Danio rerio: one gene and its partners. The protein of the gene in region 1 interacts with the protein of each later gene in a pairwise test. Links are inferred from orthologs where the notes say so. Each region holds a gene or a part of one and is shown on either strand. Other genes may lie near its edges. The genes, in order: trim23, lnx1, morn4, phf1, flad1, klhl42 and hoxb5a.

Region 1 (4,006 bases):
AAACTTCTCAAATACTAATCAATAATAATATAAATAGTAACGAAGAACAAAAATATTAGCCTATAGGCTTGTAACAACATAAGTCAGATGTTGGAAAAAAAACTGCGTCTCTCTGCCTTTTTTTCTATTCATATTTTAAATTATTTGCCAGAAAAACTAACATGTTGACTTTGTTCGGTTTAAGCGGAGACTTATTTGAGATTACAATGTTTCCAGCAGCACTGAGACTGTGTGCCTGTAGCCCATACAGATACTTTTTCGCAACCGTGGCAAAGAGAGTATCTTGCTCCGCCGCCTGCATTTCTCGGAAACCAGCTCTACATTGTGGATCGGCGCGTTCTCAACTACCAAATATGCTGCTCCATTTCTCATCAACGTCTACTATTTATCAGTTTCTCTTTTGTATTTGCCCATTTTTGAAAAGGCCTCTCTACCATACCTGGCTGACTAGCTGGGCATTTGCGTTCAGTAGATGACACCGGAGCTGGCTCCGCATGTCATGGCTGGGTGACATTACCACAGATGGCTATGGAGGTTCGACGTGTTTGTCCATTTAACACTTATTTTTCTAAACAAGCCCTACAAATAGCTTCATCCTAATTATTGATTCGCCTTACTCGTTCGCCACGAATCCAAAATGTTTCCAGATTGGCGATGTAATATAAGTTTTCCGGCAAGGTTCATGGCTGAACTTGAACTTGCTGTATCACGTCTAAGTTAACGTTATGTTCATAAATGTATAGGCTATTTGGCAACAAAACAGAAAATGTGTGTTCTAGAGTGATTGTCGTCACGGTGACCGTCACAGCCCTTACATATGAGATTGCATACATTTGCATACATGTTTTAAGCTATAAAATGAAAGCCTCAGTTTGGTGCGGAGTTATTATTATACAAAAATCAAGAAAATCTTTGGATTTGTTTGATTCGTAGATTGTAGGCTATTTTAAAAGCTGATATTATATAAGAACTATTAATAACTGTAATTTTCAAAAAATAAAAAAATAAATAAAAAAGGGGTTTGTTGGTTGTAGCCCACCCTAAATCATCAACAGCCTGCTTTTTTTAAGTTTATGAAGCGGCTCCATACAGCACAGAGGTGATCTGCATCAGCGCTGGTTATTGTCAACACTGTGTGAAACTGTGACGAGAAATATCCTTCTTTCATTTTGCTTCTTTGGCAAAATTTGTCTGTAGAAACGTGTGTTTGCATGTGTTACCATCCCAAGAGTTAACAAATATTTGTTGTACATTTAGGGGCCGATCACAAAGCGCACGCCTTTACGTTGCAAAAACGCGCGACGTACCGCGCTGCCTTTTATGGTTGACAAGAAAAAAATAAGCCTCTTTTGTATGTCACTAGAAAACGACTGAATTAGCTGGTGTGCGCGAGTCGAGTTGCTGTCGATGTTATAATTGTAATTTTAATAATATTGTGATATTTAAGATCTATAAATACAGCTCTGGATAACTTGAAACAGCGACCACAAGTCTCTCCTCAATCTTTAAAAGTTTATCGTACTCACATTGACAACCCAAACCCCGCTGTCACCTCAACAGAAAGCCTGCAGTGCTTTCATTTGACTGAACAATGAAACAGAGGTAACACGCTTTTTCCACTCGAGCACACAGCGCAACGGCAAAACTTAAAGCCCGCTGAGCAAGCATAAGCAGAGCGTAAAACACTGGCGGCAGTCAGTAAACCATTAAACAGATGCCCCGTATGCAGCCAAACTTTAAAAATGTATAAAGCATATTTTAATCGTTTAACTGATACCATTCATCGGTTACAAACGCACCCTTTCGGTTATTGCTTAATCAGTTATTTTGAGCATCCCCAACTAAACCGCATGTGCAAGCTCTATTTTTTTTTTCTCTCACGGCCGCACGCCGTAGATCCGGCATGGTGCCGGAATACTTTAAGCCCTGGTAAGATCATGTTTATCACTATAAGAAAACTAAATCAAAATTATATTTTAATTGAACACATCTGATCACATAAGGTACGCACAGAAAAGTCTGTTTAGTGTTGTGAAAAGGCAAAGCTGAATATCTGTGGTTAAACTGCCACCCAGCGGTCAAAAGCTGCTGGCGCATCAAGTACCGCCGTCGCCGCGGTATGAATGGCGGCATAAGGAACACATTGAAGTAGTAACATCTGTAATACTTTTTTGTTGTGTTACTATTTAAGTGTGTTTCTTTTTTGCCCTGACAATGTAGCTATGGTTTCAATGGTTCTGTTTACTTTGTTATTTGCACAGCAGCACAGTAGACATAAAAAACCCTGTACTATTTATCAAAGATTTTTTAATATAATTTGGAAGTGTTGTGCAGCATAATTTTAAGCAGGAGAAAACATGTACAGTATTTTATTTATCAAAGATTTTCGGCAGCTTTTATTTTTGTGCAGCTGTTTATTTGTAAACAGGGAGAGAAACCTGCGTTTGAATTAAGTTTTGCTCAAAAACTGTTTAATATAGTTTTAATAAAGATTTTAAATCTCAAGTAAAAATTTATGGGAAAATACTGGCCATCTATTGTATACTGTCATTCCTCCTAAAAATACTGGGATTACATTTTTTTGACCATATCGTCCAACCCTAATTCATACTGTACTGATGACAAATTTTGCATCATACACATTGTTTGCGTAACCTAGCATACCTGTAAAACACTGAAGTATTGTTTGGACTTTAGGGTTAAATATTGGCATGTATTCCTTGGTTTAGGATGGCTCTCATTCCCAATTTCAATACTTGTATTTGTAAAGTTTATTAATATTATTGCATTATTATTATCGTAAGAATCCCTAATAGTTTTAGATGTGTTGGTTAAGTTTTGCTTATTGTAACTACATTGAAATAGCTTGAAATGTGACTTTAAAGTAATCATTTATGTTGGTGTTGTTTCTGTTCTAATAAATCTGAAGCAGGTCTACTAAAAGTTTCACATATGAATGTTGTATCTTATAAGTCATGAAAATAATTATTTGAATTAATGAAATTAACTGAAGTAAAATGGAAAACAACATTTGTTTATTTTATTGTCTTAAATTGACGATTTCAAATTCAAAGTATAATAATAATAATATTATAAATGAATAATAATGAATTCTTAGTATTAAAACAAGATGCATCACTAGTATTTCTTTACTTCGCCAATAATGATTAAGGGTTACATCATCAGTTGTTTGTTGTATTGAATAAAAAATAATTGTTTTTAACTTGATGGTTGATACAAGTTTATAATCTGAGAATCTAAGATCAATTCAATCTCTCAATTTAACATGAGGAACTTAAGCTGAAACCATTAAATATTTGGTCTGCTTTAAAATATAAATACATTTTATCATACTTTGTAAAAAATAAAACTTTGCTTAATACACCAATCTTTCCTTTTTAAACCAGCATGCTGTACTAGAGGCTGAAGCCAACCAGATTCGAGCGTCTATCCTGGATATGGCGCACTGCATTCGCACATTCACAGAGGAAGTGTCGGAGTACTCCAGGAAACTAGTGGGCATTGTGCAGCAGATAGAAGGAGGAGAGCAGATTGTGGAGGACAGCATGGGCATCGCTCACACTGAACATGTATGAACACGTTTTTGAGTAATCATAGTCTTTTTCTTAATGCATTTACACCAGAGGTTTTCAGTAAACTCCTCATTGGTTTCCACACAGGTTCCAGGTACTGCAGAAAGCGCCCGGTCTTGCGTGCGTGCCTACTTTGCAGATCTACATGAGACACTGTGTCGCCAAGAGGAGATGGCTCTGAGTGTGGTGGACGCACACGTCCGAGAAAGGCTGATCTGGCTTCGCCAGCAGCAGGAGGATATGACCATACTGCTGTCTCAGGTGTCCACAGCCTGCCTGCACTGCGAGAAAACACTGCAGCAGGTACAATCTAAGGCATGCTAAGTCACACAACCAGCATGATCAAAAGATCAGGAATTTGAGTTTGTTGTTTTTGTGCCAGGATGATTGCAGGGTGGTTTTGGCGAAACAGG
Region 2 (4,006 bases), on another chromosome or scaffold:
TGCGGTGGAGAGGGGCGTGCAAAGTTTAATGACCGGGCGGGAGACGCGCGATTTCCAGGAGATTATCATTCATTTGCGGGCATCAACTTGGGTATCTGGGAGTCTCTGTGCATTTGCGGGATAACGTTAACGTTAGTCCCGCAACTTCCGGGAGACTTCTGTAACGTCAAATGTCTGATAAAGTGCAAACGCGGTCATTTAAAGACATTAATGTTAACATTCCGACTTTAATGGAAGTCAACACTTAATATAATTCAAGCGTAACTGTTACGTTATCACACGAGTCTATGGACTAACGTTATTTGGACAGCCACGAATGAACCAGTTTAAAAGGGCTGCGGTGTTTAAAATAACCAAATTAACGTACACGAATAACAAACAATCATATGTTTCAGTCAGGAAGCCTTTTACAAGTAAGCATGTTCATTTACTCACCAGATATGTTTTAGAAACTCCAGAGCTCATGGAAACCGTCCTGTGTTGCCGTTAGCATCCAGGCAGAGTAGGCTAGGCTGCTCCGGGGATTCCCTCGCTAGTTTGCTTTGAATTAAAGGAGAAGTGTCGATTTTATTTTACAGATGGGTAACAACGCACAAAATAGCATTAAGCGTGACATAAATGTGTTTAACATGTACATTTGATGTTTTTATGCACTATGTATGCGTGAGCATATATAAAAAACATTCTTGAAAAGAAGTGAATAGTAATGCAGTTAAGCTATACACAAACGACCATGAATGAACCGCAGAAGTTTAAAATTGTCACTCCATTCTAAAATTATTAACTTAACAATATGTTTACAACTGTATTTCCTTAAAGAAAGTCAGTAAAATACCAACATTTAGGTAGTTTGACTCACCAGTTGCTGTTCTAAACCTCAGATGGAAAATGGCGTCTGGAAAATTCTTCAGTGACTGGGGCTGCATGAATTCCCGGATGTTGGAAATAACACCACCAAGTATTGAAAAGATAACTCTTTGATTTCGCACTGAATAAAATCAATTTTAACTCTTATTATATTCATTTATCAAAATTTAACTCTTTAACGTCAACACTTTACTCTGAAATGCTTCAACACCGAGAATTTAACTCTGATGAATTTGCTGTGTAGTTCATTAATATGGTGCTTGTAGTTCTCGAGCGATTTGCAGTCCCTAGATTGCTGGTAATTGTTATACCGCCAAAGCTGGTCAGTAAAAATTATCCAACTGGTGAAATAAGTTTTTATGAAATATTATTGCAATTTAAAATTGCGAGTTTCAATATTGGAAAAATATGCTTAAATCAAATTAATTGCTGGTTTATTTCTTATTTTCAAATAGTCAGCATCATTACAAAAATCCTCTTAACAGGCACTCTTAACAATTGTGTAGTTCCTTGAAAAAAGAAAATGGTTTGACAAATGAAAAGTTGAATAAATTACATTTGTTATTATTAGACATACATTTTTCCCTGTCAGTTTTAATCAACACAACAACTACTTTTAAATAAAACAACGAATTACTATTATAAAAAATAACATATTAGCTCCAGATTTTTGATCAGCGCTACAGTATGCACATTTGTCTGTGGAAAAAAGTTTAATTTTACTTAAAACTCACCCCTTTAATTGTAAGATTTATCTTAATGCATTCATATAAAGTCTCTGCCAGCCTTGCATCCACCAACAGACCACTGTAATGCTTTTTTAAGTCCTGCAGTCATGCTTGGCCTGGCTTTACTCTGGACAGATGCCCTGTTTGTGTAGCACTGAAAGTGATGATCATGTGGGAGTTCAGTTCACTGATTACACAAACTCTCTCTCTCTCTCTCTGTTTCAGTATTCGCATTACCTCAGCTGCATCATCTAATCCCTGATGGTGAGGTCACCAGTATTAAGATCACCAGGGCAGATCCTTGTGAACCACTGGCAATCAGTATTGTTGGTGGCAATGAGACCCCTCTAGTACGCATCCTCATACAAGACATCTACCGCGAGGGGGTCATCGCTCGGGATGGAAGACTACTACCTGGAGATATGATTCTTAAGGTGCGTATGTGTGCTAGAGCTGAGATTACGTCAATGTACAGTAGGAGCAAATCACCCCGGTTTTGATAGCACATGTTGTCACCATCTGTTGTTCAGAGGAGCAACGTGTTAGGATTCTGCATGTAGACATTTTAATGCCTTTTGCTTTCATTTTTAATTTGATCATGTTATATAAAATAAGCAGAGATGCTCTTATATTTACATTTAAGCTGTGATTATGTTAATGTCCCATAAGCCTAAAAAAAGCAGATATGCAGCATTCCCAGAATCAACATTAGAACCAGCTTTATATTCCAAGTCTGTACAAACATGCAAGGAATTCATTGTGGGTTCCAGGAACTTTGTATACATAGATATATAACACAAGAACACTAGAAAAACATTTGAATAAGTCAACTGGCGGTTCATTCCACTGTGGTAGTCCCTAATAAATCAGACACTAAGATGAAGGAAAATGAGTGAGTGCATTGGAATAAGTTAGATTAATAAAAATAAGAATTTAAAATATATTTTAAAAACAATAAAACAACGTAGATCTAGATATAATGGCATATGTAAAATGTACTGTAAGGACACTATAAATAAAATAATGTGTATTTATAAAGTAAACATTCTATTGTTGCATATAAGAGTACTGGATTACTGGTTTTAAAAATATGCAGTAATTGGTGTGTTAGCTGTTTAGATGGAGATGTGGACATGGACAGAATTTTATGTCTAGATGTTCTAGTCTATGCTAATGAACGGATGAATAAAAATAACGCTAAATAAAATTAACATTTAAAATTTGATCTTTCAGTAGTGTGTTTCTTGCTATTAATCCCATGCATGTTAATGAATGAATGAATAAAAATAACACTAAATAAAATTAACATTTAAAATGTGGCCTTTCAATAGTGTGCTAATTTATGCAATTAATCATACTTAAAATTAAAATATGTATGCTAACAACCAGCTAGATGTACATCCTATCTTACATAAAGCTTATACAAACTACAAACACTTATATCAGGTAAATGCAACCTTCAATTTTAATTGTGATTAGGCATTGGCTGATATAAGATTCTGAAGGTATGATAACCTTATATAAAAAATGCTTCCAAGGTATTGTGCTCTAAATTATGTTCTTTTTAAATGTCTGGGTAAAAAACTAAAACTTTTACCCCTTTGAACACAATATATTTTCTTTTGAGAAACACTTAAAATATTTTGGAGCAGTAAACATGTCAGCCTAAGTAATTCAAATGAATCATTGACTGATTCTGTCTTCATTAGTTTAAAAAAAATAACAGATTTATTTACCATTGATTAATTTTTTATATCTTTTCTGCTGGAGATACTATTGCCCTAAAAACAAACAGAAAATTATAATAAAAAAAATAAAAAAATCATCTTACAAATACCATAGGAATGATATGGCAGAAGACGTTGGCGGTTTTAAAACCTTGACTTTTCCAAACCACGATATACCTTGAAAACGGTTATCATCCAAAGCCTAATTGTGATTAATCCTAAATAATTGTTTGACAGTACTACATGAAACTCAGGCTTTTGGAATTGGTTATGATATATCATTCTCTGCTGTTTGAGCTTTAAACATGTACATAATCATAAATTAATCATCTCATACTGTGTGGTCTCTTCAGGTAAATGGCATTGACATCAGTAACGTGCCTCACTGTTATGCCGTGGCGGCTCTGAAGCAGCCGTGCACACTTCTGCGGTTGACCGTCCTGCGAGAGCAGCGCCATCGCTACCGCTCCCATCATCACTCCCCCACCGAGGCCTTCCCTGCCCACACGGCCACCATTCGGGATGACAGCCTGCATGTGGTCCTTGTTAAAAGAGCTCCCGATGAGCAGCTGGGCATCAAGCTGGTGCGCAGGCCTGATGAGCACGGCGTCTTCATCTTCCACCTGCTGGAGGGGGGACTGGCGGCCCGTGACGGCAGGCTGCGGGTAGACGACCGTGTGCTGG
Region 3 (4,746 bases), on another chromosome or scaffold:
ACACACTACGCACACGAATGCGCACACACACACACACACACACACACACACACACACACACACACACACACACACACACTCAGAAATAATTAAACCACTTTTGATTTTTTTTTTCTACCTTTTTTTTTTTAAATAATTTTTCAAATGATGTTTAACAGATTAAGGAAATTCTCACAGTATGTCTGATAATATTTCTTCTTTTGGAGAAAGTCTTGTTTGTTTTATTTCACCAATAATACAAGCAGTTTTTAATTTTTTAAAAAACATTTTTAGGTCAATATTATTAGCCCCATTAAGCAATATTTTTTAATAATCTAAAGAACAAACCATTGTTATACAATAACTTGCCTAATTACCCTAACCTACCTAGTTACCCTAATTAAGCCTTTAAAATGTCACTTTAAGCTGTATAGAAGTGCCTTGAAAATTATCTAGTCAAATATTATTTATGGTCATCATGGCAAAGATAAAAGAAATCAGTTATTAGAAATGAGTTATCAAAACTATTATGTTTAGAAATGTTTTGAAAAATCTGCTCTCTGTTAAACAGAAATTGGGGAAAAAAATAAACAGGGGGGCAAATAATTCAGGTGGGTTAACAATTCTGATTGCACCTGTATATAAGAACACTAGTAATTTAATCAGATTTAGGGTTAAAAAAAATAATGGTTTATGTCAAAAAAAAAGTTTTTATTACCGAATAATATTTCTGCTATTAATTGAAATAATCCATTGAGAATTTTATTTGCATAAAGAATCTGACTGCAGCCAGTGTTCCGCACAGAGATATGATCTCACAATTTATTTTTCTAATTCATGAAACGTAGATTAAGAAACTGTTCACAGTGAGGATAAAGTTGCTCAGACAAAATAAAATACCTGTATAATATTCCTCCTTAATAAAATATTACAAAATGGGCCAAATTATGCTATAATTAAAATGCTGAAAGACAAAGTGCATGCTGTAATTGTAAATAATCTGTTGACTGTGTTAATGGCTAGCAAATGGGACTTCCATAACAATTTCTTACTCAAATTGTTTATCAAAATTAATGTACATAAAAGTGTAGCAACAATTCGCAGAACATTAGAATAAACCTAAACTAATACAAGCTTAAAAATAGGACATCTCAATTTAATTTAGGAAGAGTTAAATAAGTTAAATGCCCACTTTAGAAAAACATAACCATGGGTTTATTATAGTACAAGTGTAGTAATGATGATGTTTTGGCAGATTTATTACCATAACCGCAAGTTTACTGCATATACCATGGTTAGCTATGGTGTCAAAGTCATGCATACTTTTGGTTTAGCTACAGAAACATGTTTGTGGTAAAACATTTCCTTTATCAAACTGTTATCAAAAATATTGTATCGTGTTGTTAACAGTACTAAACACAGACATAAATTACAACATATAAATTAAGGCTAATAAACTCCCGTCACTGTTTCAGTAATTGTGTTTGTTGTTTAAGGTGGTCTAACTGTACTGCCTTGAATGAAAAAAAAAGGTTAGTTCAAATAGCAAACCTTAAAATAGGCAGCAGCAGTGACAGCATTACTTACCTTTGTAAACAGCACTAATGAGAAGAGTCCGTATCACGTTACCCTTGCCAGTGTGGCTCTTTTGTAGACATTGATCAGCCAATCAGCGCTCGCTGAGAGAAGCACAACATAAAACATCGCGAGATCTTTAAGGACAGAGAGATTCAGCGAGAGGAACTGAAACACCGGCGAGCCAGGACCCAATTTTCTCTGTATCTGCGGATCCGCTGGACAAAGCGAAAGGGTTTCATGCTCTTCAGACCGCATATAAACATAACAGGTAAATGAAATCTCCATTTGCTGGCGTGAAATAACGCGAAACGGGTTTTCACAGGCTGTAATTGAGAAGTGGGATGACGTCACCTCAGCCGCTGCTTTCTTTTAGTCCGTAAATGTTTAAACGTGTTCGGCGTAAATGAACCGTTACATTATAAATGATACAGTATCGGCTAAAATTAACCACCACAGGGCTCACTCTGTTAGACTGAGCTTTACACTGTACACAATACGACTGTGTGTGGGCTTAGGTGATGTTCTGTTCATGATCTGCTTATTACATTAGTGTAATTCTGCCACCTAACGTTATTGATATTCATCTGTTTTGTGTGCAGCTTGGTGGAGGTATGACATTAACCAGGGGCTCCTTCACTTATTCCAGTGGAGAAGAATATACCGGAGAATGGAAGGAAGGCAAGACATTTCTGAATCACTTTGCATTGCTTTTGAATGATCATTTTTAATAAATAGAGCAGGTTGTCACGTGGTTTCACATATGCACATAAAGGCTATAAATTATGGAATTAGTTTACATTAAACATTACTGTCAGATACACAAACACACACATGCGCATATATATATATATATATATATATATATATATATATATATATATATATATATATATATATATATATATATATATATATATATATATATATATATACACATACACACACACACACACACACACACAGTTGAAGTCAGAACTATAGCCCCTCTGAATTATTAGCCCCGTTTATTTTTTTACCCAATTTCTGTTTAACAGAGAGATATTTTTCAACACATTTCTAAATATTATCGCTTTAATAACTAATTTCTAATAACTGATTTATTTTATCTTTGCCATGATGACAGTACATAATACTTTACTGGATATTTTTATATCTATCAACATATTCGTTAGACTATCGAAAAAACATATAGCTTAAAGGGGTTAATAATTTTGACCTTAAAAATTAAAAACTGCTTTCATTCTAGCTGAAATAAAAAATATAAGACTTACTCCTGAAGAAAAAATAATATCAGATATACTGTGAAAATTTCCTTGCTCTGTTAAACATCATTTGGAAAAAATTAAAAAAGAAAAAAATCTAAAGGGGATAATAATTCTGACTTCAACTATATATATATAGCAAACTATTAGACAAAGTTGCAATTTGGTGTTAATAAAATTACAAAAGTCATTTTTTATGCAGAGAAAGCAAAGTACCTATTTTGTTTCAAATATATGTTGTAAATAAAATTATATTAATATATTTTTTTTGTTTGTTTTAAAAGGTTTTTATTGAGATATTCATTGCATTGCATTGCACAGCATTACAGTAAATATTACATCTCTATTTTTTTTGCAAAAATAAATAATTAATAAAAAATTATTTAAAAATAAATAAATAATTTGTAAACCCAGAATACACTTTTCAAAAAACACAAAATGCTTAACCTCTAAACCCCCCACCCCTGGGACCAAAGCTTATGCAGTAATGTTGGTGTGACCTTCACCATGTGGGTTTTTAACCTACGCTTTCAAGATAGAGGAGAAGAGGAGACCAAATATTGTCAATTTGTTTTCAATTTCTTTGCCATAAGAAATCTGATTATTTCCAAATATGCTAATTTAGGTAATTCTTCCAGCCAAGATCTAAATGATGAGGATTGTGTTGATTTCCAAAACCTTACCACTAGCTTCTTTGCCACAATAAGGCTGTAAGACAACAGTTGTTTTTGAGAATCCTGGAGTGATCTAGTTTTGTCTGAAATTCCGAATATGACCAAAAGTGGGTTGAAAACTGTTTCACAGTGTAAAATTTTAGATAGTTTTAAATATTTCAGCCTAGAATAGGATCAACACAGAGTATAACTATGTAAGGAAGTGGCTAACTCCATCTTGCATTTATCACAGAATAAATCTACATTTTTAAATGGGTGAAAATATGTTCCATGGTCATTCAGTATAACAGATGTATTTATGTAAAAATAAACAACACACTTATTTTGACTTGCACTAATAATAAGTGATAAATAATATATTTTACATTATTTTAATTGATTAAACGTGTTGGTAACAAGTGGGTTAAACCTTTGGGGTTGGGTTAAATTTTTTTTATGTCTTTTAATGTCATTAATTCATTTGTGTTTTAAATAAGCACAAAAATACTTTTTTTGTATATTATTGCTACTCTAAAATGCAGTTTTAGTATTTTTGGGATGGGTGAAAATCCCATTTTTAAATGGGTGAAAATATGTTCCATGGTCATTCAGTATAACAGATGTATTTATGTAAAAATAAACAACACACTTATTTTGACTTGCACTAATAATAAGTGATAAATAATATATTTTACATTATTTTAATTGATTAAACGTGTTGGTAACAAGTGGGTTAAACCTTTGGGGTTGGGTTAAAAATTTTTTATGTCTTTTAATGTCATTAATTCATTTGTGTTTTAAATAAGCACAAAAATACTTTTTTTGTATATTATTGCTACTCTAAAATGCAGTTTTAGTATTTTTGGGATGGGTGAAAATCCCATTTTTAAATGGGTGAAAATATGTTCCATGGTCATTCAGTATAACAGATGTATTTATGTAAAAATAAACAACACACTTATTTTGACTTGCACTAATAATAAGTGATAAATAATACATTTTACATTATTTTAATTGATTAAACGTGTTGGTAACAAGTGGGTTAAACCTTTGGAGTTGGGTTAAAAAATGTTTATGTCTTTTAATATGTCATAGATTCATTTGTGTTTTAAATAAGCACAAAAATACTTTTTTTGTATACTATTGTTACTCTAAAATGCAGTTTTAGTATTTTTGGGAGATTTTCATTATTTTCGTTTAAAAAGGAAATTAAAAGGACTTAACAACAATAACAAAAAATGGTAAAGAGATGTAAAATTAGTTTAAAATTAGTC
Region 4 (4,733 bases), on another chromosome or scaffold:
CCTACAAATTTTAAGAGGAACACTTTTGTACTTTTTAGGTACTAATATGCACCGTTGAAGTATTAATATGGACCTTTAAGGTACAGATTTGTATTTTTTGTTAAGGGACCACCCCAGTGACAGCTTTTGTACCTTTATTTCTGAGAGTGTACATTACTGAAGCCAAATCTGGAGTCTATCTAACAAAATAACTTACGATAACGGTCCAAAAACTAGTACACCCAAATGTATATGTATACAAATTTAAAAGAAGAAAAATCAAAACAACAAATACAAAAAAAAAAAGTAGAGTTGAAACTTTGCAATATTTAGCTTGAATTTAATTGTATTATCTTTCAATTTCTAAATATGTTTGGTGACTAAAATATTGTTTTAATAAATATATGTTTAATAAATCTGTTTTTTTAAATGCACCAAAATAATTGCCTATATCCATTGAGAAATTAATCAAATATTATTAAATTATGCTGAGCACTGTACACTGTAAAATATGATCAATATGTCATGACAGCATATATTTTAGGTCATTGTAACTTATTAAACTAAGGTAATCATGTTCTAACTAAATTTCATAAGTTACAGAAGCTGTTTTAAGTCAGTTTAACATATAAATTCAGCGGACTCATAAGGTTAATCTGATTCAGCTTAAAAATTGAGGCAACCAGGATTTAAGATAGATAATATAATGAATAGATAGATAGTGAACACACACTATTATTATTAAAATTATTAATGATTTATTTTATTAATACATTTTTGGAAAAGCGCTAAAAAGAACTCATGTCTGAGCATTAATAACCTACTGATCTACTCAATATGAGAAATGTATATTAAATAATTTAATAAAATGTAAATTTATGTACATTATGAATAGCCAGAGTAATGTTTTTCATAAATGTATAACTTATATTGTAATAAAATATTATTAATAAACAAAATAAAATGACGGTATATAATTATATGAAAATATAAGTGTAAACATAATTTATTCAAAACTGATTAATAATGCAATCGTCATAAAGTGGTAATTTATTGTATTTTTCGATTGTTATTATTATTGTCTTGCATTACACTCATTTTTAAGTTATGATCATAATAATCCTGTAACTGCATTATCTAATATGGAATAAGAAAAATCTGTTTTCTTTTTTTGGGCGTTAGCCCTTTTTCTAATTTATGATAATAATATTGCGGTTATATTTCTTTATTTTTTATATATATAAGTCAAAACATTGTTTTTAAACTTCTTTTTCTATTCTTTTTTTGCGCGCAGCAGCTTTGCCTCTTTTTTCTTTACTTTTTTTTCCAGCCGGCACCCAAGGGCATTTTCAAACTTTCTCCAGAAAGTCCACGGCGTGGCTCTGCCGGACTAATTACCCCGTCAAACTTTCCCTAATGAGGCTGTGAGCGCGAGCGGCACCGGCCGGGCTCCTATCGCGGGCTGTAGGGGCGCAGGCGGTGGTCGTGCCGGCTTTCAGTCCGGTGGGAAGTCGGTCAGTCGCACAGATGTGAAGGTGTTCTCCGGATCTCCCTCCCTCTCCATCTCCCTGTGTTTTATGTCTGCGTCACAACAAGTCGAAGGAGAGCGAGAGAGAAAGAGAGAGAGGCAGAGATGATGATGATGGCGTCTCTCTCGGGCTGAATCTCCTGACGAGCACACGCTTGAAAGCATCAAACCGAGAGACATGAAGACGGACAGAGAGAGAGAGAGACGGACGGACGGACAGACGGTTGCGCACTGACGCGCGTTTGATCCGCCGCGACTCTCCAAAACGCGCCGATTATTCGGGACAGTGATTGAGACGCAGAACAACACCGGTCACCATCAGGCGTTTCATGTGAGACTGACATCTCTTCCCCGTCTCTGTGACCCCAGCAGAGCCGATCACTCCACACAGGTACATCCCGTGCACGTATGATCTGCCATGCGTGTTAATTGATATGTGCGTGCGCGCGCCGTCATGTGTGTCAGCTCTCCTGAGTTGCGCGCATTGATTAGTGCACATCTGGCCGCGCGTTTTGCATGCATTGTTGTGGCATCTGCATATGCATTACGGTCGGTTGCATAAAGCAGCCAGTGTTTTTTTCCCCCTTCTTTTTTCTTTTTGATCATGTGTGGCACTGCAATGTGCATTGACTCTTCATCATTTATCCTACTGTACTGTATACTGTCGCTATGCACAGAGTTTAACCCTTTAGGCTGCTGCTGTTTGCTACTTGATTTGAAAGCCTCTGGATGTTTTGTGCGCTCTTCTTTCCCGCTCTCTTCAGGATGGGGGGAGTCAGTGAAGGAGAGGATGTTTTGGCCAGGTGGAGCGATGGACTTTTATATCTCGGCAATGTCAAACGAGTAAGTTTCTCCAAGTTTGTTCGGAGGAGGGAGCCGGTGGAGAGGATGAAAAAGCAAGTTTTGAAAACTGCGACTTGTACTTGTGAAAATGAGTGTGGTGTTGTTTGGGATGTGTTCGTCTTGCAGGTGGACAGTGTCAAGCAGTGCTGTTTGATCAGATTTGAGGATAACTCTGAATTCTGGGTCCTCAGGAAAGACATCCACTCGTGTGAGTTTAAAACTCTGAATTTTAAGTCAAAAACTAAGCGTAAACATCTCGGTGAGCAGCTTGATGTCAAAACGACATCCAATAGACATCAAGTATAATGTCAAAAAACGCATTCAAATTGCAAATCGACTTGATGTCCAAATCTTGCCATCCGCTTGACATCCACACACTGATGCTCTTTGCCACCAAATTAAAAACACCAAAAGTAATATATTAAACGTTTTATTTATTTGAAAGCTTAAGAACAAAATTACAAAATTTATACTTTTAATTTTTTCCCTACCATGGGTGGATTTAACCTATAAGCGAGGTAAGCAGTTGCTTAGGGCCCCAGGGAATTAGGGGGCCCCAATCAATGTCAAGAACCCTATATTCAACATACAGTATAGCTCTCTTGTAAATTTTCTATCATTCATTCGTTTTCTTTTCGACTTAGTTCCTTTATTAGTCTGGGTTTGCCACAGCGGAATGAACCGCCAACTTATCCAGCATTTTTTACGCAGCGGATGCCCTTCCAGCTGCAACCCATCCCTGGGAAACATCCATACACACTCATTCACACACATACCCTACGGCCAATTTAGCTCACCCAATTCCCCTTTACCATGTGTCTTTGGACATGTGGGGGAGGAGCCGGCAAACACCCACATGAACTCGGGGAGAACATACAAACTCCACACAGAAATGCCGACTGACCCAGCCGAGGCTCGAAACAGCGATCTTTTTGCTGTGAGGCGAACGTGGTACCCACTTTAAAACCAGGGGCCCCCATGAATAGTGGAACGTACTGCCCATAGGTGAGGTGTGATCAGTTCAAAGACTGTCAGCCTGCCAGTGATCTGAGTAGAGCAAAAGTGAAGAACATTTTGAGAACATTTGGGGGACAAAAGTAGAAATAAGACAAACGATGGCCGAAACACCTGTCAGATGATGAGCGCTGTGAGCTTGTCAAGAGAGGATCTGTTCAAATAAATAACATTTCCCAATGAAAAGTAAAGGAACATTCATTCATTCATTTTCTTTTTGGCTTAGTCCCTTTATTAATCTGGGGTTGCCACAGCGGAATGAACTGCCAACCTATCCAGCATTTGTTTTACACTGCAGACGCCCTTCCAGCTGCAACCCATCTCTGGGAAACACCCACTTCCATTCACATACATACACTACGGACAACTTAGCTTTTTCAATTCACCTATACTACATGTTTTTGGAGGAAACCCACACGAACACGGGAAGAACATGCAAACTTCACACAGAAATGCCAACTGACCCAGCCGAGGCTCAAACTAGCAACCTTCGACAAAAATAACATTTCCCAGTGAAAAGTAATGACCGACAATTCACAAACAGCAATTATTCAAGATTATGGGAAAAATGGTGACAAGATTAGTTTGATGGATTGTGAATAAATTTTGTTTAAATGTTTTTTTAATTTGTAATAAAATCTAATCACAAAAATGGCTAATTAAATGTACTTAGTTTATTTGGTGAATTTATTGCATTTAATTTGACAATAAGAAAATAAAGTTTCCTTTAAATATTAAAATACATCAAATTTACTTTAAATATATATTTTTAACATGCTGTTTATTTATTTATTAAAAAAACTAATCTAAAGAGAATATATATATATATATATATATATATATATATATATATATATATAGAGAGAGAGAGAGAGAGAGAGAGAGAGAGAGAGAGAGAGAGAGAGAGAGAGAGAGAGAGAGAGAGAGAGAGAGAATGTTTTAAGTTTCAGTGCTTGGGCCACATACCTGGAATTGCTTAGGCCCCCAAATCACTAAGTCCACCCCTGAACCCTACAATTCATGTAAACTGCCTTGATGTCATTTTTTTATTTTTTTATATTTATAAAAATAATAATATATATAATAAATAAATAATGTAATGTTTCAAAGCTTATAAAATATTTTTATAAGCTTTGAAACATTACATTAAGTAATAATACAAATTCAAATATATGCTATATCCAGGAACATTGCAAGAATTGCAAAAACACAAATGAGAATGAAGCAAAAACATAACAGGTGTAAGGAAAAAAAGAGATTAAAAAAAGAGTATTGCAAAATACTATGAGAGAGAAAAAAAATATATACTGTTGAAGTCAGAATAATTAGCCCTTTAGAATTTTTTTCTTCTTTTTTTTAAATATTTCTC
Region 5 (4,641 bases), on another chromosome or scaffold:
CAGCTTCAGATAAAAATCTCTTAGTCACCCACATTTTAGATGTCCAGTGTCATGTACTAAAGGACATATTATATCACAAAGCTCCAGCAAACAGCATTTCAGTGAGAGATGTGAATGCGCATTTCATTGTTTGCACCTGCTGAAAGAATCAGCACATTTCGAGCTTGACAAGAGCTTGCACATTGTTGTTATTGTTGTGTTTTGACTGTGTAACATACATTACTGAATTAAACAATGCTAAAATGTAGCTTTATTTTATTTTTGATTGATACAAAGTCACACCCATTTGGCAAAAATAAAAATATTTTTGTAGATTTGCTTGGTTTAAATTGTTTTATTGTAGTCACACTGATTTATTAATAACAATACGATGTTTTCTGTGTTAAATAAATTCTTAATTAAAATCAATTCATAAAGTCAGATAAGTCACTCTCATGTCGCCACCTACTGCTGAAGACAACACTGAACGAATCCGTGAGTGAATCAACCGATTCACTATTATGAATCACAACCCCCCCTCCGCTAGAGGGAAACATATGAAGGTTTGGAACTGAAACATCTTTTCCGGGTTTCAGGACTACAAACTAAACAGCACTACAACAACAGAGCAACAGAGAAAGTGCCCGCAAAACTTTATTGGTTGGTTATAACGGTGGGGTTTTCAAAATGGTCCGCGTGTGTGCTTTTCCAGGATGCTTTAACCGTGAGAAACCCCTCAGACTCCGTCAGTCGGCGTCATCGCACGAGGAAAGTTTGACTTTTCACTCGTTGCCCCTTCAAGACTTTAAAAGGTTGAATCTGTGGCTGAACGCTGTTCGTCGAGACACAAAGTCCTCAATTCGGAACATCCGTGGACTGAGGGTGTGCAGTGAACATTTCGCACAGGACGATTTCAGTCTGAACAGAGGAAGTAAACGACGACTGAAATCAACCGCTGTACCGAAATGTAATGAGGTAACGTTTATGTGTGGAAATAAAGTTAACACACTGCAGTTGAAAACATTACTAGTTTTCACCATAAATACCCAGTTGATTATGTTCCACATGATGTGTGTATCTTAAAATGTAATGTTTAAACTTACAAATGCCACTTTATTAAATATATACTAATTTAACTACGTTTCTAGTATTGTATTTCATTTTTTTTCTCAAGGTTTTGACCCACTAATTCAGAAAAAAAACAATGCAAGCTGCTATAATAAAAAGGTTTGGAATACTATTGTTGTTGTTATTTATATTATTATTAATAATAAAATAATAATATTTTTATTAGTAATTACTGTTACTATTTAAAGTGGAAGTTATTCTGTCAAGTTTACATTTTCTGTCCACTACAACGAAAACCTCTAACAATCACAAATAATGTAAAACACTATTCAAATTACATAATTCAAAAACATGGATGCATTTATTTGGTCATGGGACAGACTGCAGGTGAACATATTTTCACACAACAACTTTACCCTTCTGTATTTGCACATTACATCCTTTATTTACTTTATTTCACTTGTATGTTTTTTTTTTTACTTCTTTCTCTCTTCTTTAAAATGTATAATGCAGGTTGTAACAACATCCGTCTTTTACTAATGTTCTGAGTTTCTGTAATCTATTGTTGACTGTTTTTGAAACCAATAAGAAATTGCATATTACATGGAAGTAAAAACAAGTATATTACATGAACGTCGCCGCTTTCACTTCCCAAGGAAGTATCCGCCTTCTTTAAGGTGATTGGTCAGTTTGTTTAGGAAGTAAATCATCGCCTCATTTCAATTGGCCAAGACACGTCACGTGACGGTTGTACAACCAAGTTTCTTACTGACCGAGCAGGCTGTTATGCGAGTTCTCGCACGATAATACACATTTACAAAACAATTCCAACGTCGGAAACGTAGAATCAGGTTCAGCTTTATTTTTCGCACTGTGTTGGTTATAATCTTCAGCTGCGTTTAATGTTTGCGAATAGCTTACTCTGGTTTCACGGTACGGACGTGCGGCGCACTTGGGACTTTGACATCACACATACAGTATGACCGCGACGATACCTTGAGAACTGTAATGCAGTCATTGATTTGCCTGATTCAGTCTTCAACATGATAAATGATCTATTATGTAGTTGTTAGGTGGTCACGCAGTCCGGACAAACGCCCGTATACAGTTACATGCCGACCAGGTAAGAATGACGATCATAAGTGTGTTTGTCTCTGCTTTTGATACATTGTATGTTTATATAATATCAAGCTGCTGTTGCAGCTGTTTCATTTCATTGGCTGATGTCTAATGGCACAGATACAAGAGATTAGTCCTGTGTACTTTTCTCCCTAAATAATATAGTTAATGTTAATAATCAACATTAACAATAATGTAATAATGTAATTAATAATCAAGTTAGTGGACTGGATAAAAGTAAAGGGAAAACCGTTTGTCAGATTGCTCTTAGTACGAAGTAGTTGTGTAGCTTTACTTCAATTCAGATTAAGTTATAAAATTACAGTAGTAAACCGAGCAAGACATAGCATAGCAGATCTGAAAACATAGCAGTGACCGCTGTTTCTTTCTTTTTTTTTTTTTTTGACTGATATGTGGAAATTTAGAGAAAAAGTAATAATGTGTATGTAAAAGTTCAGAAGCTTTGAGCTGAAAATTGTGTTTTTGTTATGTATTGCACAATTATTAAAACAAAAGTATGATAATTTACAATTGATAATTTAATTATGGATATAAAAATCATAATATAATGATTTACGTTATTTATAATATTATTTATAATCAGAAATAAAATAAAATAAGTTTCATGTTTCCTGTGGATATTTGTAACTGATAGACTAAGATTGTCTGATTTATGATGATAATAGTATATGTAGTTGTTATCCTGTAGTTGTAATACTATATTACTTACAATAATAAGTTAAACAAATAAATATAAAAATTATAATTGCTCTGTAAATAAACTTAATGAGTATTTAAGAAAATTATCACATTTCATGATACAGTTGGGTAGGGGTGCCCAAACTTTTTCTAATGAGGGGCCACAAACCAAACTTGATTGAGGGTATGCCGAAGGTAAATATACTAAATTAAGGTTTCCATTGGTAATTTCTTAATCTATTTAATGTACAGAAATAACTAGAAAACATTGTTTATAATAGCCAATGCTGTATATATTTAAACATTTTCATAATGATCTTATTACTGTTAAAAACAGTCCCATTTATAACAAAATGGAGTTACACTAGTCAAGCTGCACTTGTTTTTGCTTTGATTTCTTATGTGACTATTTATATTTTAAAAAATCTGATTAATTTGCAAATATGTAATTGAAACATTTAATTTCATATAGATTTTTTTGTGGCTCAGCAAAAAAACAAACAAAATAGGTTACATTAAACTAGAAATTACAATATCTTTTAAAGGCATTTGCTCCAACCCTTCCCATCATTCTCACTCTCCTCTCAGATGGGATGGTGTGCCAAGTCAAATGATACAATGTGCCAACTTTGGCCCGCGTGCCCTAGTTTGGGCATGTCTGCTATTGGATGGGGAAGTTTTATCCCAAAAATGAATAGTCTGTCTTTTCTGTCTGACAGAAAATTCCACATCTGCATACGACTCCGAACATTATCTCCAATGATTACTTGGTCATCAAGCATACAAAGGTCAGACAGCCCAGTAGGCTATTTAGAGCTGACCCCAAATCAGTAAGAATGGTCCACTAAAGAATAGAACACACACAAAGTACAAACTGTTTTATCCTTGAGGCCGTTTCTTGTGCTCTCAGCCATCTTATTAACACTGGTAGAATATACATCTTGCCTCTGGCAGCTAACTAAGCATAGAAATTCTCTTTCATACATTAGAATCATTAACCATACATTAATATTATTTATTCTTTGACGCACAGTAAAATTCTTATCTAGTGGCTGCTGATTAAGTACCACAAATGTCCAGTTCCACATGAGAGGTTCCCTTCAATGGGCTTGAAGATCACTTGGCATACAGAAAAAGCAATGACATGCATATGATTCATATCAGAAAATCCCCTCCCTTTAATACAATTGTAAACATAAAATAATATGTGAGATTATACTCTTACACAAATATTTAAAAAAATATTTTTTTTTTACCTTAAGAAAATATTTTGGTGGAACCTTTGGAGTTCCTAGTACTGTTTGTGTTTAAACAAATTATTTATAACCTCTTTTCATTGAAAAACATTGGAAGATGATTGGTGCATGTTTAACTTACAAATATACATTACATTCCACCTAAAATAGGAGCGCGTGCAGATAAGTATCATGCTGCTCTATGAAAACATGGGACCATTATTGATTGCAGGTTCGTTATTGCACTAAGCCATTTCATTTTCTTGTCACCTTAGTCCCTTTTTTAATCCGGGGTCGCCACAGCGGAATGAACCACCGTCTTATCCAGCACGTTTTTAAGCAGTGGATGCCCTTCCAGCCGCAACCCATCTCTGGGAAACATCCACACAAACTCAAACATCCACACACACGCTACGGACAATTTTAGCCTACCTAATTCACCTGTACCACATGTCTTTTGACTGTGGGGGAAACCAGAGCACTCGGAGGAAACCCACGCGACGCAGGAAGAACGTACAAATTCCCCACAGAAACGCCAACT
Region 6 (3,614 bases), on another chromosome or scaffold:
TAGAGATGTCCCTAATTTTCAGCCACTGAAAATTTATTGGCTGAAAAATATGCTATTTAATGGATAAATTATGCTATTTAATGGAACCTTTCATTTTTGTGGCTTCAGTCATTGTTGGGGTACTCCTTTAAAAACTGTAAGCATTAACAAATTATATTGAAATATTGTTATCGTTTAATATGGAGAATAATTATCCAGATAGCATTTTTGCCATATTGCCCAGCCCTAGTGTGAAGTGAAGCAACTTTCACACTGGACTCAGAAAGTGCTGCAATATAAGCCAATTCATTTCAATAGCTTGCAATAGCACTACTATGCAGCAGGTATGCAACGTTGGTAAAATGTCAACTCTCGACTTGTTTACTGTCAATAACAGTTTACAGTCAATAAAATGAAAGGTAATATTTTATTTTGATGGTACATTTGAGTATTAGTAGATTGTCTGCTTGCTTAATATATGTTGATACTGCTCCTTCAACAGACATTTAACTGACTATAAGAAACTTTGCAAGTACATGTCAACTTACACTAACCCTTAATCCAACCTAACAGTCTACTTATTATCTAATGAGAAATAATTGGCATGTAGATTCAAAGTAAATTCAACAAATGGACCATCAAAATAAAGTTTTGTTAGTTTATTTATATAGCACATTTTTTACAACACAACATTGCCCAAAGTGCTGAACACAATTAAAATTAATTTAAATAGATCCTACATCACATAACAATTAAAACATAAGGCAAACCCCTCAACATTAAAAAGACTCAAATGCTAAAGAACAAAGATGGAGTTTCAGAAGCGTTTTTAAAAAAGATAGAGTTGGAGTGTGTCTGATGTGGGGTGGAAGCCCGTTCCAGAGTTTTGGGGCAATAACAGCAAAAGCCTGTGTGACCAAATGTGGTTATTGGTTTGTTTCTTAAAATCCATATAATGTAAGTTATTGGGTTACAATTACTTTATGCTGTGTAATAACATAATAATAAGCAATTATTCCAATTAGTACTTGGTACAATTTACAATATAATTTTTTTTGCTTGCGGCTAAGGTTATTAAGAATTTATTGGTTTTGGTTTTGGCCCATAATTTAATTTTCAGTGCTTCCCTATTCTATAATTTTTTATTATTTTTTTGACTCTCAAAATGCATTGACTTGCATTTTATGAATCACTAAGGACGATGGCAAAAATAGTTAATGGTCCACTGAACAAAAAGTCACCTACATCCTGCATGGCCTGAGGGTGAGTAAAATAACCGCATTTTTATTTTGGGGTGAGCTACTGTATCCCTGCTCTTTTTTTATGTCCAGATCAAACTTCAAGCTGCTGGCGGTGAGTGGGAAGCTGTATGCGGTTGGAGGTCATTGTCTGGGTACAGTGGAGTGTTACAGTCCTGAGCAGGACTGGTGGACGTGTGTGGCGCCTCTGCCTGATCCTCTCGCTGAGTTCTCTGCCTGTGAGTGTCAGGGCATGATCTACGTCATGGGCGGTTATACCTCTAAAGGTGAGTTTCACTAAGAGCACACACACTCAGAAGCAGAATCAGAAACCCCCTTAGAACTGCGTATTAAAATAAGTACAATTCAGAATTTGGGCTCAGAAATGACAGATATAAAGTTGTTTGCTTTTTATTATGTCAGAAGTTTATGAGCACTTTTATAAAACTCTGTACTTTTAACTCGCAAGAGAAAAGACACCTTGATTTACAAGGTGAAAGGTTAGAATTGTGGCATTATATCTAGTTTTTCTCAGTAATTTTGACATTTTTCTCACAATTATGAATATGGTTTTTGCAATTCTGTCTTAACGTCTCAAATGTGAGATCATATTATGCAATTTTAAGAAAACAGTCAGAATTGTAAAATCAAAAGTGACAATTACCTCTTATTTTGTGACAGACATGGGCTTCCATAGTGTTCTTATAAAGTAGTAATAATACAAAGTATGGTCAGTGCCAGCAGCCTTACAGTTATATGTATTTTTAGTCTAACTGTATTTGAGTCAAGCTTATTTTTGTATTATTCTGTAAACTACTGAAGACCCGTGTCCAAATTTAAAATGAAAATAGGATTTATAGATTTTTTTGTTGCATAAAATAACAAAATGGCGCCATGTTTTCAGACATGTTTACTGTATATTCATTTGAGACATCACAATACAAATGCTTTAACTTCAGAAGTGGTACGAAATTGATATTTGATGCACAAATAATAAATTTGATAATTTTCTGAAAATAAAAATAGAATTGATCATTTATAATTTTACTTAGATTTTGATATGAATATTATTACACCTTTAATTTAATAAATATTCATATTTTATTCAGTCCTGTACCTAATAAATCCAGTAAATCAAGTAATGTCTTAATATTTGCATAGCTGCATGTCACAGTCGAAAAGATATATACAGTATACTAAAACAAAATACTATACAGTGATTCCTCGTTAATCGCGGGAGTTCGTTCTAAAAGTAGACAATAGCTGAAATCGGTGAAGTAGTCCGCTTTTCCACAATTTCCACAATTATTATAAATGTTTTAAGGCTGTAAAACCCCTCACTACACTCTTTTCTCAGATAGACATTAACATTTTCACACTTTTTTTCTCGTATAAACACTCGTGTAGCTTCTTCCTTCCTTTAGCATGTCCAGAGGTCCAACTTTTGTGCAATGGTTAGCGTCTTCCTCTGCTTTTTAGGTGCTACCACAGGTACTTTTAACAGTGCAGAATATTTCGTTGACATTATGGGGTTTGTTTGGGGAAAAAACTTGTAAACATACAGTACAGCACTTCCGAGTCACACTGCTAGCGATCAAAGATGGATGTTAATTTGGCAAGCTGAACGCATTCTGTGCTGTACAGGAGACACTGCATGGAGGTGATTGATTGAAAATGGTCTACAGCCAATCAGGACGCAGAACACAATGCGCTAATTAGGACGCAGAAAACAATGCGCTGTGAAAAAAAGCATGTCAAATTGCACTAAAAACAATCCGCAAGAGCGATTTATGGAGAGGGACCACTGTATTTAAAATCACCTTTAAAGGGGACCTATTATGCCCTGTTTTACAATATGTAAAATAAATCTCTGATGTCACTAGAGTGTGTTTGTGAAATTTCAGCTCAAAATACCTTACAAATGATCTTGTATATCTCTTTGAAACTGCCTCTTTTAGGCTTTAATCTAAATTGCGCTATTTTGGTGACTGTCGCTTTAAATTAAAATGTAATTATGTGATCCCAGCCTTCGTTTCAAACGATGGTGGAGCTACGAACATCCTAAAACTCTAATAGTGGATGGCTGCTTCTCATTTAGGGCGGTTTATGCTAATGAGAGACAGATTGTCACTAATGGGTGGGGCTTTCCTCTAATGACATGTACAAAGGGAGAATGTCAATCAAAGTGTTTCTGCAGACTGTTTATATGAAGTGTGATTATTAAAAACAGAATCAGTTATTTTTTACCATTAGATGCTGGCTATATCCATACAACTATGTTTCCACACAACTATGCCTCCTTTAAGATTCTGATTTCAGTGTATTTGTTCTAATATGTGACAGACAGAAACACCAACGTCCTGCGCTACTGTCCTGTCTCGGACGCATGGTCTGTTT
Region 7 (4,563 bases), on another chromosome or scaffold:
TTGTACGATGTTTTATTTTAGATAGACTTTTAGTGATTTCATTAAACAAATAAAATGAACAAAAACTCGTTGGTTAGGAATTTGGTTTCGCTTTTTGCACTATTAAGAGGCTGAACATTGACAACTTGGTTCCAAAATACTTCCAACAAAGTGTAAGGTGAGAAGGTTCAGCAGATTTTAATAGATAACCAAAAGAGAAAGCTGACCTGTCGGCGCTGGTCACTCACCCTGAGACATAGAGCCTGGAGGGTTATAAGCGATAATAACCCAAATATCTCAGGTAGAGTTTGCTAATTGCGTCAACAAAATGCAAACCAGAATCAGACATAGCTTATAGAATTATATTTAAAGGCCTAGATAAAAGCCAGATACACAAGTTATTCTTCTACGCAGAAACGAGTTTACGTTTACACGTTTTCAACGTTTACAGAGCCTCACGCTTCTTCGAAGGCTACAAATGGTGGTAAACCTGCTAGTCCTTTTGTGCATTTCCAGATTTTAAATATTGCTAAAATATCAATGCAATATTTGGGTCAATGTATTTCAAGTGTACTTTTCTGCATTTAACAAAACCAACAGTGTATATAGGTTTTTGTTATGATTTACACCATGCATATAACACGAAGCAGCAATTGGCACTTTGTCAACAAACCATATATCTTTTTGGAACATAAATCATGATCTCACATTCCTTATATCCAGTGTCTGACCAGAAACTCATCTTTGGAACTTTGGAAATCACACCGCTTTTTACGTTGAAGAAATATATTTGCGGTAGCACCAATGATAAGATATAGGCTACTGACATTTAGGTAAATATGTTTTAATTCCCCCGATTTACAATTGAATTGATTTAGTGTTAAGTCCTTTAATTTATATTATAGGTAGAGAAATTTAAATTCGTACCAAAGTAGACTTAAGTTTTTACATCATCACAACAGTTGATATTCTAAAGCCTAACATTTAATATATTCTCTACGTGTTTCGAGTACGATTATTTTATTTCCTTTTATCAGAATCATGTGACAGTTAAACATTAGATTATATTTTCATATCAAGCATGCATTATAAAGTATGTGGGATGTTGTATGTGTAAATGGTCAATAGGTACTCTAAACGTTATTAACGTTATTGCAAAAATGCAAACAAAAGAATTTTTATTTACGCTTAAAAGAAAGTAAAGTGGCATTCAGCGCAGAATATATCTTGTGAGAGTGCAACGAATTTCATTCCCAGTAGGTGACGCTGTCCGCTTACTTCCAGCAAATCCCTGCAATGGGAGGAACACGTTGACTCAAGTCTAACGACTCCCCGTCTCGTCATCATTTGTAACCATAGAGCATGAATTACCTCTTGAAGTCATCAGTGAGAATTTACGACTGGTCAACAAAAGCACGTGATTCTCAAACGCACCCCCACCCCCATATTTGGCCGCATACATAGCAAAAACGAAGTACAGTGCATTGCTATAATTCATTAATACATCATAAATCGTGAAGCACAGCGTTATAACGACCAAGATCTACAAATCAAGCCCTCTAAAACAACCTAAATGAGCTCTTACTTTGTAAACTCGTTCTCAGGGCGCTACCCAAATGGCCCTGACTATCAGTTACTAAATTATGGAACTAGCAGCAGCGCTATGAACGCTTCGTACAGGGACTCCGGCACCATGCATTCAGGCTCTTACGGCTACAACTACAATGGAATGGACCTAAGCGTCAATCGTTCAACCAGCACTGGCCACTTTGGGGCGGTTGGGGACAACTCCCGGGTCTTCCAGTCTCCAGCTCCGGAGACGCGATTCCGGCAGCCATCAAGCTGCTCGCTCGCGTCTCCGGAGCCGCTGCCTTGTTCCAACAGCGAAAGCCTTGGACCCAAAGGCTCTTCGCCCCCTTCCGACCAAAGCACCACCACTGCGGGTAATAATCTCAACAGCAACACACATTTTACAGAAATCGACGAGGCCAGTGCTTCATCGGAGACCGAGGAGGCGTCTCACAGAGCGAACAACTCTGCACCCCGGACACAACAGAAGCAAGAGACCACGGCAACCTCCACTACCTCGGCGACGTCCGATGGCCAAGCTCCCCAAATATTCCCTTGGATGAGGAAACTACATATTAGCCATGGTACATACGTATTATGTTTATGTCTTATTTCTTTGTTAGCAAATGCGTACTGGTTTAATGTTAGTGTGGCGTCAGTAACAGCCTTTATTTTAAATATTCGTGAAAATGCCATAAATCTATCAAGTGTGGAGCCTCGCAAACTGTAGAGAAGAGAATGGGAGCGGGGTGGAAGAGAGGGCAGCGAGGCAGGAAGGTTTCCAAGTTGTTGTTTCTGTGAAAAGTTCAGCTTTATGATGTGTGGGAATGTGATTAGTGTTTGAGAACCGGTAATAAAATGGAAAAAACAACAACATGGGAAGAAGCCGAGGTTGTGGGTTGTATAAACAAGCCGCGGAAAAGGTAACGTTTATGAATAATTATTACGTTTGTTAAATGCTGCTTTATTTCTGTAAAGTTTTGAGGTTTTAACTAACGAAGGAAAAACAAACGCCTTGAGCCTAAAGTGAGGCGCTGTGCACTGTACCATTTGGTGATTTCCCTGTACACATTTAGGTGTAAAACGTGCCACTCATGAGTATCTGTAGGAAAAAGTTGTTGGAAACTGTTGTTGAAATAATGTACAGGCCGATTATTGCTAATGTTTGTTCCCCTTTGCGTTTTGTCCACATTATTCAGATATGACTGGACCAGACGGCAAAAGGGCCCGAACTGCATATACCCGCTATCAGACGCTAGAGCTGGAAAAAGAGTTCCATTTCAATAGATACCTCACCCGAAGAAGGAGGATAGAGATAGCCCACGCTCTATGCCTCTCAGAGCGTCAAATTAAGATATGGTTCCAAAACCGGCGGATGAAATGGAAAAAGGACAATAAACTGAAGAGCATGAGTCTGGCTACCGCAGGTAGCGCTTTCCAACCATAGTTGTATCCCAAGACCTGCTACGTGGTGTGCAAAAAATTACGCGGAAAATGAGATGAAAAAGAGATCTCAAAACATTACCTACAGAGTACTGTACATCGCGGCACCTTTCGGCATGTTATGGATGTTTTAGGCATTTTAAAATTCTACTGTGGTACTGCTATAATGAAACAAAAATTAGTGTTCATATGTTGTTCTTTTATGGTGACTTTAATTTTGGCAAGTAAATAAAACTGAAGGGAAAGAAGCTATCAATATAACGCTTGTTGTTCTTGTTACAAATATTGTTTATGTGTCAAGTGCTATGTTAATGCTTTCTTGAGAGTTAGCATGTGAGCTCTTAAATGTTATAACTTATTTACCTATACACGTGTATAACTACCTTTTGAGTTTACAGCTTAGAAACGCATCTGCCCTTGTATGAAGTGAAGCTCTAGTTTAGAGGTGACTGCAGTAAATTTAGCAGAAGCCTATGTTTCATGGTCCTCTGTTTAATCAATGTCTAAATAATCACAATCGATTTGTCATGTGTTCACAATCTTCTATTATTATTATTATTTTTTTTTTGAAAAAAAAAAAATAATTAAATGGTGTAAATAGACCTCGCTAGATTCTTGTACTCGTTCATACGTGTGTATAGTTGTATTCCAAATATATAATTGTATATTACTGGATCATGTTTATGTTCCAAAAAAGGTTGTATATATTGAACATTTTTATTGTGATCAGTTGGCTATTTGTAGTGGGCAGAATAAACGGCAATGTGGAAAAAAGTCATGTCAATCTGCCTGTTAGCATTTTGCCAAAATGCTTTTTGTATTTGTTTGTAGTTTAACTTGGAGTAAAAAATAAAGTTCCTCATATTCAAATCTTCTACTTTTCTTGACTATTCTTCTAACACATTCCAGACATCTAATTATTGTCAGTGATTGACAGTTATCGATTACACACTCAAATATTCTCTGAAACTCTAAATTCTGAAAGGTCTTATATGTGACAGAAATATTTTGGCACAATGCAGATCTGTGACGTTTTATATTGACAGTTCATACTCAAAACGCTATAGCGATCTTACTATTAAGAGAAAACGCACATTAAAATTTTTACCTTAAACCTGGCGTGTACAGAATATGGTTAAAAAATACAGTTAATTATACGAAACATACACATTTTCCAGATTGTTTATATAATCTACAAACGCTCTTATTTCTGCGTCCTAGTAAACAAACACTGAACCTTTAAACTTACCATGCGTGCCAAACTGTTCTCTACCTCTAAGTTTTGAGAGCCGAGTGGAGGTCCCCGCAGTGTACCAACGGTCACTTGCCTTCTGTATTTTTGCTTTTCCTATTGCCCAAACTACACAAAAAGTAGCTATGACATTTACATGTCAAACGGATGAGCGTTTTATCTTGAAGTTAGATCGTAAAAATCGCCCAGGCCACAGACAGATACCCCTTACTGGCTCTCAAAAGTCACGTGGGGTCCATAAAGTTAGTTTTATGGTTTTGGGGAGTTGACAATGTACTATATATTTCACATTCTAGAATGCAAGTGACGGTTTAACTGCT

The links.
Region 2: the proteins of trim23 (region 1) and lnx1 interact in binary tests that used the Homo sapiens proteins (3 or more experiments, as listed by UniProt). The link is inferred for Danio rerio from reciprocal best matches to the Homo sapiens genes TRIM23 and LNX1.
Region 3: the proteins of trim23 (region 1) and morn4 interact in binary tests that used the Homo sapiens proteins (3 or more experiments, as listed by UniProt). The two-hybrid records come from large-scale screens. The link is inferred for Danio rerio from reciprocal best matches to the Homo sapiens genes TRIM23 and MORN4.
Region 4: the proteins of trim23 (region 1) and phf1 interact in binary tests that used the Homo sapiens proteins (3 or more experiments, as listed by UniProt). The two-hybrid records come from large-scale screens. The link is inferred for Danio rerio from reciprocal best matches to the Homo sapiens genes TRIM23 and PHF1.
Region 5: the proteins of trim23 (region 1) and flad1 interact in binary tests that used the Homo sapiens proteins (3 or more experiments, as listed by UniProt). The two-hybrid records come from large-scale screens. The link is inferred for Danio rerio from reciprocal best matches to the Homo sapiens genes TRIM23 and FLAD1.
Region 6: the proteins of trim23 (region 1) and klhl42 interact in binary tests that used the Homo sapiens proteins (3 or more experiments, as listed by UniProt). The two-hybrid records come from large-scale screens. The link is inferred for Danio rerio from reciprocal best matches to the Homo sapiens genes TRIM23 and KLHL42.
Region 7: the proteins of trim23 (region 1) and hoxb5a interact in binary tests that used the Homo sapiens proteins (3 or more experiments, as listed by UniProt). The two-hybrid records come from large-scale screens. The link is inferred for Danio rerio from reciprocal best matches to the Homo sapiens genes TRIM23 and HOXB5.

The regions. Positions count from the first base shown.
Region 1 is NC_133185.1:12,467,854-12,471,859, reverse strand, and holds part of trim23 (E3 ubiquitin-protein ligase TRIM23), read left to right. Parts: intron 1-3,407; coding exon 3,408-3,590; intron 3,591-3,680; coding exon 3,681-3,896; intron 3,897-3,975; coding exon 3,976-4,006.
Region 2 is NC_133195.1:25,268,545-25,272,550, forward strand, and holds part of lnx1 (E3 ubiquitin-protein ligase LNX), read left to right. Parts: intron 1-1,820; coding exon 1,821-2,029; intron 2,030-3,675; coding exon 3,676-4,006.
Region 3 is NC_133188.1:44,273,041-44,277,786, reverse strand, and holds the start of morn4 (MORN repeat-containing protein 4), read left to right. Parts: upstream 1-1,705; 5' UTR 1,706-1,825; intron 1,826-2,156; 5' UTR 2,157-2,168; coding exon 2,169-2,235; intron 2,236-4,746. UniProt on the Homo sapiens protein: Plays a role in promoting axonal degeneration following neuronal injury by toxic insult or trauma.
Region 4 is NC_133191.1:49,886,726-49,891,458, forward strand, and holds the start of phf1 (PHD finger protein 1), read left to right. Parts: upstream 1-1,580; 5' UTR 1,581-1,898; intron 1,899-2,271; 5' UTR 2,272-2,272; coding exon 2,273-2,350; intron 2,351-2,476; coding exon 2,477-2,558; intron 2,559-4,733. UniProt on the Homo sapiens protein: Polycomb group (PcG) that specifically binds histone H3 trimethylated at 'Lys-36' (H3K36me3) and recruits the PRC2 complex. Involved in DNA damage response and is recruited at double-strand breaks (DSBs).
Region 5 is NC_133191.1:24,178,384-24,183,024, forward strand, and holds the start of flad1 (FAD synthase), read left to right. Parts: upstream 1-1,783; 5' UTR 1,784-2,113; coding exon of another isoform or gene 2,114-2,170; intron 2,171-4,641. UniProt on the Homo sapiens protein: Catalyzes the adenylation of flavin mononucleotide (FMN) to form flavin adenine dinucleotide (FAD) coenzyme.
Region 6 is NC_133179.1:18,226,213-18,229,826, reverse strand, and holds part of klhl42 (kelch-like protein 42), read left to right. Parts: intron 1-1,310; coding exon 1,311-1,504; intron 1,505-3,560; coding exon 3,561-3,614. UniProt on the Homo sapiens protein: Substrate-specific adapter of a BCR (BTB-CUL3-RBX1) E3 ubiquitin-protein ligase complex required for mitotic progression and cytokinesis. The BCR(KLHL42) E3 ubiquitin ligase complex mediates the ubiquitination and subsequent degradation of KATNA1.
Region 7 is NC_133178.1:22,446,131-22,450,693, forward strand, and holds hoxb5a (homeobox protein Hox-B5a), read left to right. Parts: upstream 1-1,465; 5' UTR 1,466-1,552; coding exon 1,553-2,132; intron 2,133-2,747; coding exon 2,748-2,995; 3' UTR 2,996-3,861; downstream 3,862-4,563. UniProt on the Homo sapiens protein: Sequence-specific transcription factor which is part of a developmental regulatory system that provides cells with specific positional identities on the anterior-posterior axis.